Linked DNA regions of Rhinolophus ferrumequinum. The protein of the gene in region 1 purifies or fractionates together with the protein of each later gene. This does not show direct contact. Links are inferred from orthologs where the notes say so. Each region holds a gene or a part of one and is shown on either strand. Other genes may lie near its edges.

Region 1 (10,420 bases):
TCTTGGAATTTCCTATGTTATAAGAGCAATAAAGGTGTCTTGATAGTCTAACAAACCTCTTTTAACAGTATCTGTGTTTATGTTATGAGGTCACTTTTAGAAAGCACTTAAGGAGAGGGGCTCGTTGCTAGGGGAACCAACCATGTGATTGGAGGACTAGAACTTTCAGTCCCACCCACCCTGACCTCTGATGGGGATCAGGGTTGAAGGTTGAATGATCATCAGTGGCCAAGGATTTAGTCAATCATGCCAACGGTAATAAAGCTGCCATAAAACCCCAAAAGTATGGGGTAGGGAGAGCTTCCGGATTGGTGAACACGTGAATATTCCACGAGAGCGGTATTCTCTGAGAAGGCACGGAAGCTCCAAGCCCCTTCTCACGTACCTTGCCCTATGTGTCGCTTCCATCTGACTGTTCCTGAATTCTATTCTTTTACAATAAACTGGTGAGCTAGTAACTAAAATCTTTCTTTGGGTTCTGTGAGCTGCTCTGGCAAATTAATGGAACTCAAGGAGGGGGTCGTTGGAACCTCTACTCTATAGCCAGTTGGTCAGAAGCACAGGTGACAACTTGGTCTTGTAATTGGCATCTGAAATGGGGTGGGTGGGGCAGTCTTACAGGACTTAGTCCTAAAGCTGTGGGGTTTGACACTATCTTCAGGTAGATAGTGTCAGAATTGAGTAAAACTGTAGGATACCCAGCTGGTGTTGAAAACCCACATACTGGAATTGGGGGTGCAGAATCGTATATGTAATTTATATGCTTTAAATGTCTATTCTCAATTTTTGTACTTATGTCATCATGGACCAGTTATAAACAGTTAAAAGACTGGCACTAGTCTATACATCACACTTTCTTGAGTATCACCATTATTAAGAAAGCAGAATAATACCTCTAAGAGGACACCCTCACGGTGGGTGTTTAATGAGTGTTTGCTCAAGCAAACGGTACTGAAAAATTGAGATCACAGTCTTACATTTAATGTCTGTGTAGATGATGTTTAGCTTCCTGTTGTTCCCTAGGCACAGACCATACACCTAAGGTCAAAATTCAACTAAGAAGACATGAACAGATGGCAAGAAGATCTCAAGAATACGTGCCTCACTAAGGATGAGCCTAGGACATTCATGCTGCTCTGCCTGACCATTGCAGGAACCTCAATTTATATTTTATGTCAATTATAACAAGTACATCTTAGTTCAATTATTTAATGTGCCCAATTCAGTCAATAGAACAGACTTTTCTAAAATGAAAAGGCTGAGCCCCAACTTAAGAAAGCATCTGGCTAGATATGCATTAGTTTCTCCCAGCAATGCATTCAAATTCTTTAAATGACTCAGAAAAAGATTACGACTCATAACAACACTGCGTATCTAACGATGATTAAACAGGAAAAGAAAACCTCATAGGTTTATGAAAAATTCTACAGCATATAAAAGGAAAACTCAGTGCTCAAGATGCACAAGAAGGCTACCCTTTTGAACAAGGTTTACCAAAGGCAATTTCTGTAAAACACATCTACTTTATATTTGCAACAAAAAGAATCAAAAGAAAGTAGATAAGCAAAGGGGTGTCTGTAAGGAAACTAAAATGCAGAAAATGGTGAAGAGAGAATGTTGCCTCTGTGCCCCCTGCTTCCATTCAGTAGATCTGGGTGGGGCCTGATAATTACATTTCTAGTAAGTTCCATTGGACTGAGAGATGGCAACATAGAATGGCTAGTTGGTATAGTGAAAATGACGTGGGTTTTGAGGTCAGTCAGGATCTGATTCTGGCTCTGCCCTTTGCAGGATGTGTGTAGCAATAGTTGACTTACTTTAATCCTGCTCATCCTATTTCCACATTGATAAAATAAAAGCAAAGCACACCTCCTAAGTGTATTGTGAAGGATGAATGATATGATTAAATATCTAACACAGTGGAGGCCTTCATTAAGGTCTTTAAAAATGTCGATCCCCTTCCCTTTGATTTCCTCTAAGGATGTACCACACATTTGCCACCCTTGGGTTTACAATGACAGAATTTAGCCATCCATGGGTCAAATCATTTCCTCCAAACCTAATAAACCCTCCCACTCACAAAATCTTTATTGTTCATCCATAAAATTGGGGATAATAGTATAATAGTATCTACTCTAATATAATGGATAATAGTATCTACTTTGCACAGATGCATCCATGAGGATTAAACAAGATGATATGTGCAGCGCTTAATATAGTAATGGCATATGGAAGATATACAGTATACGACAGTTTCCTGTCCTCTTCCCTTCAACTGGGTATTTAACCATAGTATCTCCTAGACCAAGTTCAAAAGCTCACGTAGTCTAGAATACCTCAAATCAATCTTTCCACCTTAATCAGATTGTTCCCTTTGTGTCACAAATTTGAAGTCAATTATTTGGTTTATTTAAGTACTGGTAAGGATACACTCTATTTTATTGGATGTTCAAGGAGATAAGTAGAATACTGTTCCCTGACCTTGAGGTACTTGGTTGAGGTGATAATATACATAGAAAGTTGAACAGGAGTGAAAGGCAGGGTGGAACAAATTATACAAAATGTGGTAAGAGTTGCGAGATTGTAACGGCTGATCTGTGATTATTTTGTATTCAGGAACTAGAGAATTACTAAGAGTTAGAAGAGAGATCTGCTTTTATGGCTGAGAAAACAGTCCAGAGATCTAAGTGTTTTAGGAGCACAGCTCTGGAGTGGCAGGTTTCCTGGCTCCTGGTCCCATCCTGCTGGTAGATTTTTCTGACTATTTTCAAGTATTTTAATCAGTTTACATTAGCTCTTTCTACGTAGGCAGTTTCGTGTAGCTAGTTAAGCACTGGGTTCTGAAGCCAAAATGGGTTGGAATTCTGGCTTTGCCAGTTACTATTGTTGTGACTTTGAGCAAGTCACTTATCTCTATGCTTCAGTTCCCCAATCTATTAAATGAGTAGAATAATAGTACTTTATTTCATAGGGTTGTTGTAAGGATTAAATAACTTAATATACGTAAAGCATCAAAAACTGCGATTTTGTCATTATAATTATTATCAGTCTCTGAGAGAATGGAAGGCAAAAGGCTATGGTCTTTTAATGATTTTTTTTCTTCTTCTTCTTTATAACCTCCTCCCTCAGATTCTGATCAAAGCATCCAGGTGAGTGTTCACTAAATACCTTAATCCTATTGGATAAAAATAAGTTTTTGTATCTCAGAAGTGAGATTTGTGATCTGGTTAAGTCTGGCCTAGTCTGATAACAAGACAGTCTAGAAAAGTAAAAATTGAGATAGCAACAGATTCTAGGACCCAACAGAGCTTCTTTAAAAAAAGTCAGTCAAGATCAATAGATGCAGAGAAAGATGGAGGTCAGTGAATCTAATTCTAAATGAGCTTGCCTATCTATTTTAAGACCTATTCCAAACTTCCTTAGACAAAATTCTAGCCTTTTAAGGGAAGTGCAGAGAACATTCCTCCCTGGGCTTGCTTTGAGGGACTGTTTTAGCAGGTTCTGCGTTCTGCCCTGGAGGTGGCTGCATGCATTTGTGAACTGAGGTGACAACATTGACTCCCTTCTGAAGAAAAGATGCTGTCTCTACACAGGAAGTTTAACTAGAATGGCACTACTTGAAACAAAAAGGAGGAGAGGAGGGAGAAGGAAAAGAGGGAAGAGAAAAAGAGGAGGAGGAAGGAGAAGTAGCAAGGACGCTGAGGCCAGCCCAGTCACACACAGCTCAGTTCAATATTCAGATTAGAGAAAGCAAGCACCATTTTTTCCTGGAGCACACTTCTCTACTCTTCTCAAATGCCTGCGGGGGAAAAAAAAAGATCCTGGGACGAATCACAAGCTAGGAGGGCTGTCGCAAAACTAGGGACCAAGGAGAGCGGGTAGAGGTGAGAAATAACCTAGATTCGGGAGTTAGAAAAATCACGGATTTGGGGTGGGGGGTTGGGCAGGAATTTGGCACTACATTCAGCATCATCTATCAGGAAATCTAGGAATGGAGAAGGGTACCACCCGGCCTTCCAAATCTTCTGCATTTGCTAGATGCAAATCACTGTCCACTCCCACCCTCAGCATTCAGGCGTTATCAGCGTAAAGTAGTAATCAAGGAGGGGAAATCTTGAAGTGAAAAAGAAGTAATCGAAGGTCAGCCTAGGGCTCTTGTGTGAGAGAGGCTGGCTTAGTGAAGGTCAGACCCACCCACAGCACCAGCAAAGGTGGAAAAATTAAGGGTCACCATCGGCAGACGAGCCCCAGATTTAGGGGTCAGAGCCAAGGAGTTCGATCTCCTGGTACCCCAGGATTTGTGCTGCACACACCCTTTAAATTTCTCGGTTTGAGTCTCGCCTGTAGATTCTCAGATGAGATACTGTATTATTAAGTGCTCTCACAGCGCCTAGCTCAGAGCTGATGGCTGAACCGGTTCTCAATAACATCTGGGAGCAAGAGCGTCTTTTGAGGTTGGGGGCGGAAGGGCACTGGTTTTATTTATGTTAGGGTGTGGCCCCGCATCAACTGCTAGCAAAATTTTCCCGATCGCCCTCTGTCTTCCACCTTCTGCCTAGGTGACGTCGGTAAGTCCCGCAGGACCGGCTAGGGGCTAAACTGTTAAGCTGCGTCCTTCAGGTGTCAGCCTCGATCCGTTTGGAAACCACAAACCCCAGAATCCCTTGTGCAGGGAGATCAAGCCGCAAATAAGATGGCTCCAGAAGGGTGGAACATGCAGCAGGGTGGAAACCCTAGTCCCTGGCAGTTTCTTTACCGGATGTGTTTAAATAACCGAATCCTCACAAATGCACCACCCCACTAACCACCTTCGAGGCCGAAGAGGCCACTGCCATCGCCTCCGCCTCGCTGGCTTCTCCAGGGGCATCCTGGGAGTTGTAGTTCCCCCCTGGGCAGCGCCGAACTACCTTTCCCATGGTGCCCTGCGGGTCGGGCGATTTCAACGTTCTTTTCTAAAACTCTCTCCGCACTGACACCCCCTTTTCCCGGTCCCCTTCTCTCCGACGACCCCTTCCCGTGTGTCGCGACAAGGCGGCGGGCCGCAGGAGGGCCCCAGCCGTCGCCGCACCGCCCCTAGAGGCACTTCCGGCGGCGGTTCACTTCCTGGTTGGGTGGATGGAGCCGGGCGGGAGCGCGCGCGGGGGAGGGGCGGCGGGTCAGTCTCCGCCGGGCGCTCCGGGGATCAGCTGGCGGGCGGGCGGGTGCCGAACGCGGCCCCGGCTCTCGCTGCAGCGCCGCCTCATCTCCGTGTCGCAGGCCGGCCCGGCGGCCGTGACAATGTTGCGGGGCTGGTAGCTGGGCGCCGGCCGCCGAGCCATCTCAAGTGGGTGCTACCGGGATGCTGCCTCGCGGGGCGGCAGGGAGATCAGGGAAGAGGGGGAGGCAGTGCTCGGCTGGGTCGGCATTGCCCAAGGCGGCCCGAATCCCTCCTTTTTCTGAGCCCCGGGCACGGGGTCCTGGGTTTTGGGGTCGGGGATGTGTTTTCAGCTCCAGGATTTTTCTCGTTAAGGAAATGCATGAAGCGTTTCCCCAGGATGATGGCTTTTGCTTCCTCTAGGACTCAGCAGTTGAATTTTCAAGTGTGTTACTGATTCATCCTCTCTCTCTTCCTCTGTCATCACAGGTTTAAACTTACACGAATCGCTCTCTTGAGGAGGAGGGGACCGCTGCGCGATTGACACGCATATTCCTGTAGGCATCCTCCCTCAGCCCCCACCCCCACGGCCGGATTCGGGTGGCTCCTTTCCGAGCTGAAATCCGAGAAGAAATCCTTGGATCTCTTGTTTTCTTTTAAAAAAAATCTAGAAGCTGTCGGTATTTTGCTTTACTGCTTCCTATTCGCAAGATGAAGAAGTTTTTCGACTCCCGGCGAGAGCAGGGCGGCTCTGGCCTGGGCTCCGGCTCCAGCGGAGGAGGGGGCAGCACCTCGGGCCTGGGCAGTGGCTACATCGGAAGGGTCTTTGGCATTGGGCGACAGCAGGTCACTGTGGACGAGGTGTTGGCGGAAGGTACGGTAGGACTCTTGCAGTGCGCGGTAAACGAAAATGTTGGGCTGATGCAGCAAGATTCTGGTTTCTAGTTGTTGAACGTATGAATGGGTTCTGACCAGTTGACCCTCCCTTCCCTCTTTCCTTGCCCTGTGAATCACTGCCCTTGAGAAATTTACAACAGACGTGAAAGTGACAGGGTTTCTGGGGTGGGGGAAGGTTGCCCCAAATTGTTTACCTCAATGGCTTTTTATGTTTTAAAAAACATTGACAAGCCAAATCTTGTGAGCCTCACTGAATTATGAGGAGCAGATGAGAAAACCTATATGTGAAAGTGCAAAGCTTCACATCAAAGGTAGGGGGTAGTGGGCTTGTCATCCTAAAACTTGAAATAATTGATGTGAGGGCTGAAGAGAGGAGGGTTTCTCTTTCTCTTTCTCCTCCCCAACTTTCCCACTGCCAAGAGCAGGCATTGGAAGGAAGACAGGATTTTCAGAAAATGGGAATGTTTTTTCTACGAGCCAAGGCTCTTGGATTTGACTGGGTTTGTTTCCTGACCCAGCTGTCATCAGGTCCCCAGGATGTAGCTAAGATAACAGAAATTACATGAAATGAATGTGGTTATTTTGAAATCCGTCCAGTAGGCCCCTCTCATCTCCTGTTTTAGTCACCCCTCCTCGCCCCCCCAGGAAGAATTACTTGAGAGTGGCATCATGATTTTTGCTTTTCCTCTGTTGGAGAAGGTGTTATTTAGATCTGCTCTGTGAATTCCATATCTATATCTAAATCTATATCTTGATTCCCCAGGCTTTCTGGAAATCTTCGCATGTCTCTTCGTAACCTTAACCTCGACCTTCATAATTATGCCAGACTCATACTTTTCACAGCCCATTGCCTGCCTAGTGTGCTTTTATTTTTAATAAAAGCAGCAATTTTCTTGGCATGAAGCTATTCAAACTAATTGGATGGGGCCAGCCTGCTGTAGGTTGTGTTATCAGCCGAGAGGGGATGGCGGAAGGGGGAGGCGTCTATCACTGCAATATGGAGGTGGTGGTGGGGAACAGTTTATTAGCTGGGGAAGGAGCCTTTTTGCAAGCTAAGGTTGAAAAGATTTTTTCGACCTGGGCCTGGGAAATGCCTGTCATAGTGAGTCTTGCAGGCAGGTCAGTTGGGAGGAGGAAGAAGCTGTGTTTGGCTCTCAGCTTGTCTAAACAGTGGATTCAGCTGGGCCCAGTTTTCTGGGGTTAGGGTTAAAGCCTCTACTTTAAAAACACTGTTTTTAAAAAGGTCTCACGATGCCCTTGTGAAATTGTTGCCCTTTTCCATCCTCAGTACTGCTCTAGCTAGACTTAATGTGCGGCCTGAGTCACTGTCCCTTTGGATCTTTCCTTGTGGGCTTTGGTGCAGGATGGGAGATGCTTCTGTGCCTGCTGCCAGATCCGCACCCTTGAGTCTGATGAGTCTCTTTCATCCCTGTGCCAAAACCCTTGACTGCAGTGGGATGGAGACATGAAGGAGTGGGTATGAGAGAAATCAGGAGGAATGATGGGGGCACAGAGCTCTTTCCTTCTCTCTGAATGGCCTCTGCTGACCTTAGAGCCCAGGAGCATTTTGTTCAGCTAGGATATTCTCTCATTGTAGATGGTGCTACCCTAAGCAGTGCCTGTCCTCAGAGTCTGAGTGATGGGAAAGAGAAAAGGCAAAGTTGGTCTTTGTCATTTAGGTTGCCCTCCTTTTCCCCAGAATTCATCCCTGAGAACTGTACATCACGCGTTATATTTTTAGAGGAATGTAGGGCTTGCAGCTCTGCATTCCTTCATTCGTACATTGGACAGACAGTTATGGCGTCTGTGATGAGCCAGGCACTGCGCTGGGCTCTGGGAATGTGCTCCACAACTAGACGCTGGAGTTTACAAACTACTTTGAGAGATGGAAAACAGCCACTTAGGATAGCGTGGTATGTGCAATCATGGAGATACATTTAAGGTGGCCCCCAATTTTCGAGAGCCAAGAATTGCTTTGTGCCGGAAGTGACTGACTGAAGAATGGATAGGAGTTACCCACCGGGTGTGATGACGTCATGGACAGAAATTCAGTAACGACACAGTCTCCTGTGAAGCTGGGGGTGGCAATGTTGCCCTCTTTATGTTCTCTGGCTAGAACTGAGTTTGAATTTGTGGCTATTAGAAGTATGTGGCTATGGAGGAGCCAGTGTACCAAGTATTTATGGAGCAGAAAGTGATAATTTGACTTCTTCATTCCCAATTTAGTTGCCTTTTATTTCTTTCTCTTGCCTGATTGCTCTGGCTGGCCTTCCAAATACTGTGTTGAATAACAGTGGTGAGAGCGGACATCCTTGTTTGTTTCTGATCTTAGAGGAAAGGCTTTCAGTTTTTCACCATTACGTATATTAGCTGACGGTTTCAAACACAGACTCTTATTACCACCAAATCCCACTGATCATCCCTTTTTCTCTAACGTGGGTATTCGTCTATGCGTTATAGTGCGGAATGGCAGGAATCTCGAGGAGGTGCTGGGGTAAGACAGGAGAATGCTGGGCTGCCAGCCCTCCATCTGCAGCGTCAGTCCTGCTCGCCTAGTTTCACTAACTACTGTGTTTCCCCGAAAATAAGACCTAGCCGGACAATCAGCTCTAATGTGTCTTTTGGAGCAAAAATTAATATGAGACTCGGTCTTATTATATTATGTAGCTAACACCCGGTCTTATAAGACCAGGTCTTGTATTAATTTTTGCTCCAAAAGACGCATTAGAGCTGATTGTCCGGCTAGGTCTTATTTTCGGGGAAACATGGTAGTTTAGCAGGGGCTTATTTGCGGGAAGTGAGGAGCATAAGTCATGAGTTCAGAGGGATGTGGCTTTATCTAGGCTTGGTACAGGGGAGGATATTTTCTCTCTAGCTTTCTCAGCAAGATGCCACAATGAGATGCTAGATCATGTCTGATGTAATGGGCATGTAATGTCAAGGAATGATTTGGTTTAAGCTTCCAGAATGAGCTCAATGGGAAAATTGGAGCGATGCTTAAAGAAGGACTGAAGCTATGCTTTTATCATACCTCCTTAGCTATATGAGGCCTTACATCTAAGCTTTAAACAATAAATAAATGTTTGTTGAATACCTGCTGTGTAGAAGACAACATTCCAGAACTGCTTAAGTTCTATATAAGGTGGACCAGGTGACCCTTCTGAACAATTTCTCACCTACACTAAAGGAATCCAGGTCTAGAGGTAATGAAAACTAAGTCTCCAAATCAGTAAACTTTAACAATTTCTCCTACCTACTACCTACAGTACAAGGTAGCAAGACTTAAAAATGTGTGTGAAACCACCTGAGAAAAAACCAAACACACACAGACACACACACACACACACACACACACACACAATATACATATATGACATATAATTCTAGCGTGTTGGTGGTACCAGTATGATCAATATGATGCATGCATGTATTCATTTAGTGTACGTTTGCTGGTACCTTCTTTGTGACAGACACTGTATTAGGTTCCTAAACTACCGGATGGATGGGACTTAGGTCCCGCTCATATGGAGCTCATAAACCAACAAATGACCCAAAGATAGGTGTCCATCACTTATCATGACGCTTGGTGGATAAAAGATAGTGGTCAAATGATATTAAGAGATGGTAAAGAGAAAGGGCCTGGGGGTGAGGATTTGCAGATGAAGTGTGCTTTGAACAGGAATGGAAATTGCCCAGCAGATGTTCCAGATGAGGGTTACCCAAGGTCTTCTAAACAGAGAGGATAGCAAAAGTATAGAGTGGTGAAAAAGAATGAGTTCCGAGAATACTGAGTAGTTCAGTGTTATTTTAAGTGTTAGTACAAGTTTCCCTTCCGGAATCAAGGAAAGAGGGACATGGAATGGCATAAGGAAATTCTTTTACAATTTGCTCCCTGGCTCTGCAGTGCTGCTTGTTTTGTTCAGTGGCCCTGGGGCGTTTGAGTAACTATTGAATAGATACCCACTATGTACTGCTCCCCTCTGGGCCTCACCTCTTTGTGGGGCAAGGGAGTGGCTAGTGTCTGGGGAAGGAGTGGTCCTGAAGGTTCAAAGAGAAGCAAGAAGCTTGAAGCAGAAGCAGATGGGACAGTGACATGACCAATGTTACAGAAAGGAGTCAGGGAAGACAATGAGAATGTTTGATCAGAGCAGAAGGTATGTTGGAGAAAAAAGAAAAGGAAAAAAGATTATAGAGAGCTTTAGTGCCAGGCAGAGAGGTTAGTTATAAGCACCCGAGGTCTTCTCTTGACGCAAACACCAATTTGATCCCTGCCACTTCAGATGTCTTTGCCTGCTGGGAAGTCTGGTTTTTTTAGTGGCAACTGCAGATTTTCAGGGGGTGGTTTGTGAATGGTGTCTTCTTCCTGGCTTCGGGCATGATGACGGTTAT
Region 2 (11,245 bases), on another chromosome or scaffold:
TGCACCTACAGCAAAGAGAAAAGAATTCCTTTATCCAAGTTATTGATGTCCAGCAAGGCATTCAATTAATTTTAATAACATTTATATACAAGAATTTCTGTATGCAGAAATGAGAATATTCTTCCTTACCACCATCATTGGTGACTCAAAGATAATTAAGAATGTAACTTCTTGCGGCCAATCTATTCACCATTACATTCAACTTTCAATAAAAGGAATCAAAACCACCAAAAAGTTTCAATTAGTAGAACAATGTTCTTTCACGACAAACATCTAGAGAGGCAAGCATGCCTTATGCATGAATATTTTTAAACTATAGTTTTCATATTTCCAATAATTTACACTTATCCCAACTGTATTCCCAAAGAGTAATAGTGTACAGTTAAAAACAAGGCAAGAAACTGAGATGTCTGTCAACATTGCACATAAAAGAGAATCAGAACTGACATAAAACTTAAAAGAACACAGATCCCAGCCTCAACTTTTAACTCTTCTGTTCCAATTTCCAGAATTCATCCAGCTGACACAGGGCTCTTCCAGTAAAACAAAAACAACACGACTGGTCACATTTCTCCCCACATAATGAGAAAATATTTTCTGATTTGAGAAACTCTAAGACTTTGTCCAATGCACTTGACTTCTTTGAATACATTAAAATTTTCTTTTAATAATAATCCTTCTGCTCTCAAAAATGAGTATCTTCTGCGCCAGCCCGGTGGCTCAGGCATTTGAGCTCCATGCTCCTAACTCCGACGGCTGCCGATTCGATTCCTGCATGGGCCAGTGGGCTCTCAACCACAAGGTTGCCGGTTCAACTCCTTGAATCCCGCAAGGGATGGTGGGCTCTGCCCCCTGCAACTAATAAGATTGAACACAGCACCTTGAGCTGAGCTGCCACTGAGCTCCCAGATGGCTCAGTTGGTTGGAGCGCGTCATCTCAACCACAAGGTTGCCGGTCGATCCAAGGGATGGTGGGCTGTGCCCCCTGCAACTAGCAACGGCAACTGGACCTGGAGCTGAGCTGAGCCGGCCACAACTAAGACTGAAAGGACAACAACTTGAAGCTGAACGGCACCCTCCACAACTAAGATTGAAAGGACAACAACTTGACTTGGAAAAAAAAGTCCTGGAAGTACATACTGTTCCCCAATAAAGTCCTGTTCCCCTTCCCCAATAAAAAATCTTAAAAAAAAAAAAAATGGCTTTCAAAAAAAAAAAAGAGTATCTTCTTCCTTACCACCATCATTAACAATACTTATTACCAAATTTAGGACAGATGCCCTGGTACCTGCTCATGGTCAAAACAACATGAGTAATAATATATTTGGCAAACCTATGCACTAAACAAATCAATTTATTTAAGGAACAGGAAAAAGAGCCAAATCTGATCTCTAAAATGTGTTACTTGGACAATCTAAGGGAAATGAGACTCACTTGCTATCTTTCCAAGCAGCTCCTTACTATTAATATTTACAGTCCTCATCCTTATACAATAGTACTTTAGGTTTTACCAGAATTTCACTGAATTACCTTGTTGAAAGAAGTGAGCTAGAACTCACAAATATCATTATAGAATGCACAAATTTGTTTTTGATAGTATTTGTTATAACTAAAAATTAATCTGTAACAGAGGCTGGCCTTACACAGTATTTTCACAATGCCTTTCTAGTAAAAATTCAAAGAATGTTATAATCATTTAATCCATTCACAATGTAAACTAAACATGAAATGAGCCAACTGAAGAACAGAGTCCTTTCCATAAAGGACAAGGAATAAATCTGAAGTTATCATCTAAGCACTTACATACACAAAGAGAAAAACCAGTGTACAGAAATGATTACTAGAGCCTGACAGAAGAGCCACAGCTCAAGGCCATTATGGTCTGTCTCGGATGTTATCATGCCATTCTAAGTCCTATAGGATCATCAAAACTTAAACCTTGCTTAAGATTTAAAAACAAAATCTGCTTTGAAGTTTTCACCCAGTTTCTTCAAAAAATCATTGTTTGCTAAAGTTCTCATAGACATACACACATTTTAAATTCTTAACAGTTTTCAACACAATCTGTTAAACATTAAATTAACCTAGTCTTAAAATCTGCCTTCATTAATGACCCACACATTTCGTTACCTTCCCTAAAAAATTCATTGTCAAGGAATATATTTGTCCTATTCATCGTGAGCATTAAGTATTCTTAAAGTTCATTAAACATTAAGCGATTAATGTACCCATCCACAAAATTTCAGGAAAGAGGAGAAAATCAAGTAATCCTAATTTAGATCCTAAATTAAGAATTCCTGCTCTCAAAGAGAAAGGAAAAACATCACTCTTAGCTTACACTGTTGTAAACACCAGTAATGAAATATCCCTTACCCATTTTGGCAGGGAAACACTATATTTAAGTCAATTTTGCCTTAAGCCAAAAGAAATTCTAAGAAAAATGAAAACAGTTGAAACAAAAACAAATGAGAAGAGGTGGTGGTTGCACAATTGAATGTATGATATGCCACTGAATTGTTCACTTTAAAATGGTTAATTTTAGGTTATGCGAATTTCAGCTCAAAAAATTCCATTTGTATCATTTTTTAAATGAGATACGTTTAATCACATGCCAGAGATGGGCATAACCAGGTTCCCCAAAGCATAGGACGGTGAAAACTGTTGCCTGCATTAGAAGCCAAAGAAAAACCAGCCAATATAGAGCTCAAGGAAAAAAAAAAAAAATCAAGTATTTGGGGAAGAGTCTCAAAAATCAAACTCCTAAAAAAAATATCTATCTATTTCCTTCAGGAGATCCCCAGGAAAGAGGAAAGCCATTTCAGAGTCTGAATTCATACTACCTTTCTACCAGATCAAACTAGACAAGTCCTTGATGTTCAGAGGACTTCCAAGGTGGCCTAGGGACATTGTTAAATAACAAAGCTGCCAGTCAAAGCACACAATCACTCTTACTAGCCCCCAGTGTGATGTCACTGCACTTCAGAGAAGGTCTCCTAGTACAGGATTATACATCTAGATTTAACATAACCTAGTTTCTACTAAAGATAGATTGTGAAAGTCCCTTGTCTCTTTCTATTTCTTCCTCCTTCCAGTCCCCCTAAAGAGAATAAGGCCAGAAAAACATTAATAGCATCTTAATTTCAAATGGCTCTCTGGGAAATGACAGCTAAATTAGAGTTGGTGAGGCCACTAAATCCTTTCTTTTCACTTAAAGTTGAGCTTTAGACAGTCTGGTATTTACATGGAAAAACTGGCCAAAGAGTTAACCAAATTATAGAGCAGAAAGGTCACTCCAGCCATCTTTTATTACAAGGGTGAGAGGTGCTAGTCAGATATTTCAGTGATAATGCAGTAACAATAGTATTTTAAGGTATCATTTAGCTCCTAAGAAATTACAAAAGACACCTAATTACAACAGACACACCTGTGATTTCCATTTAAATATAAAACTACAAAGTAATGTATTAATATTATACAGTAAGAGCTCAAAAATTTTACATCCAATTTTTAACTGAAATACCAACAAACTCTGGAAAACTTAAACCTAGGAGGAAAAAAGGAGAACATGTCCTATCTTATTCATTCCTTGTTCAGCTTGCCTCAAACCCGTGCCTAAAATGTAATATTTTAAAATATGAATCTGTTTAAGGAAAAAAATAAGTGGAAGAACTGAACTTTCTTGAGTCTTCATTCACAGAATGTTAGCTTTATATTAATTTTACCACCCAATTTTCAGTGAGGCTGTTTGCAGAACACACTATCCTTTTGCTTCCTTAATTGTTTAAACTGTTAAGATACCTGCAAACGGTTCTCACCTTACCACTATGCTTAGTCATCATTGGAACGTGTTACATGCCGTCTTGTCCAGCTGCATCTCGTTCATCTGCTGCTTTCTATTATTACTTTGTAAGTGTACCCTGAGGCTAACCAAGAGAAGTACACCAGGAAGGTTATTAATAATTTAAATTGTTCCTCACTGAGACCACCTTCTTTGTCATGCTGCCTTTTCTAAACTGACTGCGTTTTCTCTACTTTCTTTTAAAAAAAATTTACACCGATTATCACAGTTTGGTATTTTAAAAACACTTCCTTTCAAAAGTCAAAGTTTAATGAAGCAGCCACATTTTATTCAGTGCTTCATAATCAAACGTGCAAGTGAGTTCAGTAAAAGCCTGTCCCCCAAATAGAAGACTGTTTTGAAAACAAACAGCATAAATACATTCCTTGGATTCAAAGAATTTGGAAATAACAGGAAGTTCCAGTTTCTTTGCCTCTGGCTTAATCTACAAGCTTTTCTCAAACCAGATCATTCGTGCTAAATCCTAAATCCAGAAAGAAAAAATTCCGGATTAAGATTTATCCCCACTTGCTTCTCCCTCTTTCACACTGGGTCAGCTCTTGAAGCTTTTCTTCCCTTCCCCTGTCAGGAATTCCTGTTCTTTTCTCAGGTGCTCAAGATTCTTGGGATTTGCTCCTCCATTACGAGGTGGGAGAGAGGTCTCTTTACCTCAAATTACAGGAGACGGGCGAGGTTTGCCCATGAATGGACAAACCTTTGGGGGAATCCCTTTTCCCTTTTGCTAGCTGGACACGTCCCAGTGTCTCAATGAAAGACGCCAAGCAGCGAGGGTAGGTCCTCTCCTCGGCCTCCAGCCTCTACCGGCCACACCCCTGACCTCCGGCCTTCCTAACCCCCGACTTCGAACATATCCATCCTTTCGGTCCGCTCCCCCAATGCCCAGATCCCAGCTGCCGTACCCGAGGATTCCCGCACCCCGCCACAGCGGTGGAGTGCCTTTCTCCAACCCTCTTCCTCACAACGGTCACACCCGACGGCTCACTCCTTACTCAACGGTCACCTTCCTAGGATGTTCTCTCCTCTGCCGGTCTGCAACCCATCCTAGAGATCCCCCCGCCCCATCAAGGAGGGACACACCCCAAAGTTGGCCAGCTTGAACTCACCGGAGGCAAGGGCGGGGGTGGCGGCAGCAGCCAGAGAGCACTGCCCGAGTGGTGTTGTAATGGTTTCCTGCACGTCACGACTCCTTTTCCAGGTCTCAGCCACTGCGCAAAACTTACTTTGCCAGGGACAAAGATGGTGGACAGGAAACTCTGACGTTAGAGAACCTCGCCGCGCGACGTCATCCCCGCGCGCGGGAGAGAACCCAAAGTCGGTGCTCTCTGCAGTCTGGGGCACAGATTCCGCTTGGTCTGGAAGAGACCTGACACCCGCGTCTCAGATGGTTGTCTAGCCCAAGGGATATATTAAACAAGCTGACATGCTCTGAATTTATTTCCTCGCACAGTTCTCTAAAATCCTTACGCATAGAGAGGGTGAAATATCCTGTTCCTTTCTTAAAGAAGAAACAACTGAGCTAATTTCCCAGGCCAGTTCAGGAGTGTGGACAATGGTGATCCACCCCAAGACTATACACGGGCAGTGGGACTAGAGGAAAGTGGTGCAAGGAAAAAGGCTGAGATGGTATCAGATCTGAGTTCAAATCTCTGCCCTGAATGAGGCTGGGAAAGTTACTTAACATCTCCTTAACCTTTACGTATCTGTGAAAGGAAGTCTCAAAGGCTGTATCTCTCTTGGATTTGTGAAGCTTAACGGGGATAAAATACGTAAAACATGTAATAGGTGTGCTTACGCAAAACTTCCTTTTGTTAACCACAACCTAGAAATCTTGGTACCTTCCCCTCAATTTTGCTGTGAACCTAACAACTACTCAAAAATCAAGTCTTTTTTTTTTTTTTTTAATGTGGAGAGTGAGAGAGCCTGGGGCAAAAGCTGAAAAAAGCAAAATTTCAAAGGGACTGAGAGGAGTAGTCAGAGACGTAGAAGGAAAAGCAAGCAGTTATGTTTCAGGATGCTTTTAGAGTTCCATGAAAGTAGGAACTATAGCAATGTTCACTCTTCTATCTCTGAGGCCTAGCCTCCCTCCTCAAAATTTGTTGAATGGATAAATGTGTAAGTGACTAGTCAGTATCAGTTGCCATAGAGATAAGGAAGGGCTGAAAAGTGTCCAAGGATTTAGCAACACAAAGGTCTTTGATGTCATTGCTGAGAACATCAGTAGAGAAATGAAGGCAAAAGCCACACTGCAGAAGTTTGAGGATGAATGAGAGGTGTGGAAATGAAGTCAGGAGTAACAAATAACTTCATAAGAAAGTATGGCTGAAAAGAGAAGAGATATAGAATGGTATCTGAGGGAGAGACTAGCAAGATATATTTTTTAAGTTCTATACTCACACATTTTCTTTAGACTATCCCTTTAGCAATACCATGGGCTCAATTATCTTTCATACACATGACTCTAACATCTCTATCTCTCGCCTTGACCTGTTCCCCAAACTTCACCACCAAATTGCTAACCACACTGATGGGTAATTCTATAATTATGGCCCACCCAAATTAAGCAAATCATAAGGGAATGTGGGGCTGATTGAAAACCTGGTTCTAGGTACAACTCCCAGCAGACAGAGGTGGATTTTGTCAAGAAGATGCCACCAGAAAAATCTTAACTTTGATTCACATCTAGTCCCTATTCAAAAACTGACAACAGCTCCTCATTGCCTGATATCCCCAAAACCTATTCTTCCCCCAGTTTTCCCCATCTTTCTGACTTTTTCTTTAGTTTTCTCATCTACAAAATGAAAAAAATAGCAATACTCAATCATATTGTTACAAGGATGAAATGAATCAGTACATGTAAAGCACTTAAAACTATACCTGTACATAGTATTACTACGTAAATATTTGCTATAATTTTGATTGTTTCAATAAATTACACTAAATTGCTCAAGCCAGAATCTTGGGAGTCATTCTTTATTTCTCTGCCTTAACTGCCACATCCAACCCATCTCCCAATTGTCAATCCTACCTTCAAAATACATCTCAAATTCATCGAATCCCCTCTATTCCATCTCATTAGTCCAAGCCACCATCACTTCTTGCCTGGACTACTAGGAACCTCAACTCTCCTCCCAACCATAATCCTACAGCAACCAGGTTTTTGTTTGCTAAACTTTTTGAAGCATAACAAACATTCAATAAAGTGCACACATAATAAATGTAGAGCTTGATGGATTTTCACAAAGTAAACATAAACACATAACCATTACAGGGTCATCTTTAAAATATAAACCTGACCATGACTCTGGTGTATAAATCCTTCAATGGCTTCCCATTGCACTTGGACTAAAATCCAGGCTCCTTCTCATGGCCTATATAGACCCTGCGTGGTTTGACACCTGTCTGTCTCTCTAACATCATTTTACGCCTTTCAGTCACGCCTCATTTCCCCTTTTGCTATATATATTGTAACCCTCAAATACACCAAGTTCTTTCCCATCTGAGGTCTTCCACAATTATTGCTCTTCCTGCCTAATATCCTTTTTCTCCAACTCCTCATATGGCTGGCTCCTTATAATTTAGATTGCAGTTTAATTGCAGTCTCCTCAGAAAGGCACTCCCTGATGACCTAATAATCTAAATTCACCTAGAGCCAAATTTCTTTTGGCTTAAGGCAGGAACTGACTTGATACAGTTTTCCTGCCCATATAGGTAAGGGATATTATATTACCGGTGTTAATTTAGTTGTACCCTCCCAGCCCCCACTGTCACCCCCATCCCAGCCCTCCCAATTTATAAATTATATATTAGTATATTTACTTGTTTATTTCTCCCTCTCCAATTATACTCTAAATTTCATGAGAGCAGATACCATGTCTGTTTTTATTACTACTTTATAGCCAGCACCTAGCGTAACGCTTGGCATAGAGGAGGTGCTCAATATTTGTTAAAGAAATGAATGACTGTCCACAGGCAAAGTACTAAACCTAGCATTTAAAACCTTCCATAATGCGTCCAGATGTACTTTTCAACCCAGTTTCTACTATTCCTTTCAGTGGCTCCATGGTTAAAGGAAACTAAATATTTCCTCCTCCTATGACTTCATGCTGCTCCCTTAGCCTGGAAAGCCCTATTACGCCCATGACTTCCCCCAAAAGGACTCAGCTTTTGAGGTCCACCTAATTGACAAAACTTTCTCAGTGGACATCTGCTAATGAGATGAAGTACAGGAGATACCAGGTTACATCATTATATCAGAAAGTAACTGGCAGAGAGAAGCTGAGATAAAATCTGAGGTTAGAAATAACGTTATTGTTTGGTTACACAGACCTTACGTTTAAGCTAGTTTGAACTGCCTTATTTCTCCTAGGTGGTAGTTACCACTTCCACTAAACCCATACATTAACCTATCTGATGGCTCTTAATACCCTTTAACGTTATGTGCAATCACTTTTTGTGTCTTATCATCTATTAAACTATAAACCTGAGGGTGGGATTTGTGATGAGGTGTTTATTTATTGGCTGTAATAATTGACATTTGTTGTTTTTGACTACCTTTCCTTTTTCTCATGTAATAACTTTAGTTTTGGAGTATCCTCAGAGGACTATCAATCAAGGTGTTTTGCCCTCTTCTGGCTAAGAGTGAAACAGAGTGGAGAGGAAATCTGAACCAAGGTAGGTCAATAGGAATTTGAATCATAAGTATTGTGACAGAAATTTGTTTAAGCTCATTCATTTCAACAATGTTGCCTGGATGAGACTGCTTATTCTCACTAGAAACATCCAGTAGGATTGTGTAGTTCCTGTTCCTTCAGAGCTGACTTTCCTAATTTTGTTAGTTACTCCATATACTTTTAACAAATTTCTTTTTACTTTATTTTAGCCTGTTTCTGTTGCTTTTAACCAAAGAACAGTAATTGATACAAATGTTTAAATAATTTCCCACTTATTTTAGTTGATGCTCTTTCTCAACTTCGTCTTTTTGCTGTTCACGTAAGAAAAGCCTGTATATAATAGGTAACATGTACCAGGTGCTTTATAGAGATACATTATCTCTAGTCCTTAAACTCTGTAAGGTAAAAATCTTTGATCAATGTGACTTATCTGGCAGGTACGCTGGTAGACTAAAAAACACTTTTTAAAACTATAATTAAGGGTAACTTGCAAGATTTTATTTCTCTCCTATTCAAACAACGAAACCTAAACATTGTTTTTGAGGGTTCTCCTTAAGTAAACCAATTATCTGTATACTATAAGGTCCTCTAGGCAGTAAATAATATCTTCTATTTAGGGCTATTTAGCCCAGGGGTGGGGGAGAAGTTTTGGAGAAGACAAGTTGAACTTTAAGTCATCCGAATTCGATAAACCTGTATCAGCGATCCAAATGAGGCAAAGTTGCGTACAATGTAAGAAGCACTTTGCAAGCCGTGAGGCAAATTACATTAAGTTTGCTATACAATGAAAAGTACCTTCTCTGTCAAGCCTCCCCAGTTCATGCAAGGTAGAATTCGTCAGGATCCCTCCGCCTTAGTACTGTATTCACATTGCTAATGTGACACACCTACCATGTAGGAAGATAGGAACCGTTTTCATCTAGTATAGCAAGTGCCCAGAGTTATGCTTAAATGTAACCAAACCTAGAAGACAGGTAAGCTACCAGCTTGGACGAAAAGTAATCGTCCCAAGTTCCGAGGAACCGCAGGAACCTCATTCTAATCATCTTTCTTTACCATTGATGGCAATAAAGCTAAGACTCCAGCTACGTCGCTTCAAATCTTTCCCGAAGGCGGCAGAACATAAATTCAGCACCACCCTGCGGCGCGCCCAGAGCCTTCCCACTTCTACATTCCGCTTATCCCTCCATCCCTAACTAGATCGCCCGCGAGAACACAGGCCTCAGCAGCCGCCCCGAATCTGGCTCCAAACGGCGGCCCAAACACCTTGTCAAAAAGACCTCTGCAGAGATTCAGAGCTGTGGCTTTCCACCGAGACTGCGATGCAAAAAAAAAACAGCTGGAAGAAAAAAAAACTAAAACAAACAAGCGGAGAATTCCACTCGAAGGGAATCAATCACCTAGTGCCCACTTTAATTTCAGCGGGTGCGGAAACGGAAGTGCTTGTGGGGTCATGGAGATTTCTAGTTCCGGTTTCGGGCCGCGTTGGGGACTAGAGTGCGTCTCCGCCGCCGTTCCCCAGCGCCGGCGGCTTCTATTTCCGGGTGCGGCTTCTGTCATAAAGCTGAGACCTCCCTTCAAACGTGGCGTCGTGGGTCCTTCGCGCCTCGCCTGGGGTCAGCGCGCAAGGACAGGCGCGGGCGGGGATACTTGACAGCCAACAGGTGGAGCCAGTCGTGGCGTACAGGGAACCTCTGATCCCTCAGAGCCGGCTGTCTTTCGAGCCCTCACGATTGGGGAGTCCCTGATTCGCAGCCTCCAGGACTGCAGCTCGAGAGGACAGTGCTCCTTCTCCATACCTGTTCCTCAGTCGTGTTCTGCCCTGTGAGGTGCAGCGTTTGACAAGTCACCCCTTCCCCCCACACCACTTCCACCCACATCTGCGTTAACTTCGTTCTTAACCTCCTTGAGACTCCTCCCTCCTGCCTCCAGAAAGGGTCTTTTTTCCCCCTTTCCCATAAAAATTGGGAGGAGTTTCGGGTATCCTGCAGAAAGGTTACCTCTACGACAGCACCCATTTGATCCCCCACATAAGTTCATGCTTACTCGAGAGAGTGTGCGCCAAGTGAAACCCAGTGCGTACAGGAAACTATGGCTGAGCACGGGGCTCACATCACAACCGCTTCTGGGCTGGATGACCAGCCATCCATCTTTGAGGTGGTAGCACAGGACAGTTTAATGACAGCAGTGAGACCTGCTCTTCAACATGTGGTCAAGGTAAGGTATTACGTAATTCTTTGAGTGGTTTTAGGGACGACTGGGTAAAAATCAGTAATTTCAGTATTCCGTAGCCTAGCTTTGAAATTACCCATTAGCATATAATTCATATCCTATGATTTAACCGTTACTCAATCCCTGTTATGTGTAGAGCCCTGTAATGAATACCTAGCACTTCAGGGAGGATAGGGCAGACCCCCAAAGAAGTGACTTGTTTAATCCCAAAGTGTAGAATTTAGAGGGGGAAAGGAAATGTAAATACATGGCATAGTAGCTGTAAAATGCAATGAATTTCATTTAATTTACTTTGCTTTAGGTTCTTGCAGAATCAAATCCTGCCCTCTATGGCTTCTTTTGGAGGTGGTTTGATGAAATCTTTACCCTGCTAGATCTTCTGCTCCAGCAGCATTATCTGTCTAAAACCAGTGCCTCATTTTCTGAAAACTTTTATGGCTTAAAGCGGATTGTAATGGGGGACAGACACAAGCTTCAGAGACTG

Evidence for each region. Proteins that work in one complex are often made in the same cells at the same time.
Region 2: the proteins of AAK1 (region 1) and AP2B1 purify together in Homo sapiens (affinity purification with mass spectrometry; 4 studies listed by BioGRID and IntAct, with this or other methods). This does not show direct contact. The link is inferred for Rhinolophus ferrumequinum from reciprocal best matches to the Homo sapiens genes AAK1 and AP2B1.

The regions. Positions count from the first base shown.
Region 1 is NC_046296.1:21,206,243-21,216,662, forward strand, and holds the start of AAK1 (AP2-associated protein kinase 1), read left to right. Parts: upstream 1-4,979; 5' UTR 4,980-5,106; intron 5,107-5,123; exon of another isoform or gene 5,124-5,323; intron 5,324-5,623; 5' UTR 5,624-5,691; exon of another isoform or gene 5,692-5,805; 5' UTR 5,806-5,845; coding exon 5,846-6,008; intron 6,009-10,420.
Region 2 is NC_046304.1:23,146,806-23,158,050, reverse strand, and holds the start of AP2B1 (AP-2 complex subunit beta), read right to left. Parts: upstream 5,172-11,245; 5' UTR 4,963-5,171; intron 4,909-4,962; exon of another isoform or gene 4,759-4,908; intron 3,907-4,758; exon of another isoform or gene 3,816-3,906; intron 6-3,815; 5' UTR 1-5. Other genes in the region: PEX12 (peroxisome assembly protein 12), read left to right, coding at 10,621-10,746, 11,063-11,245. UniProt on the Homo sapiens protein: Component of the adaptor protein complex 2 (AP-2). Adaptor protein complexes function in protein transport via transport vesicles in different membrane traffic pathways.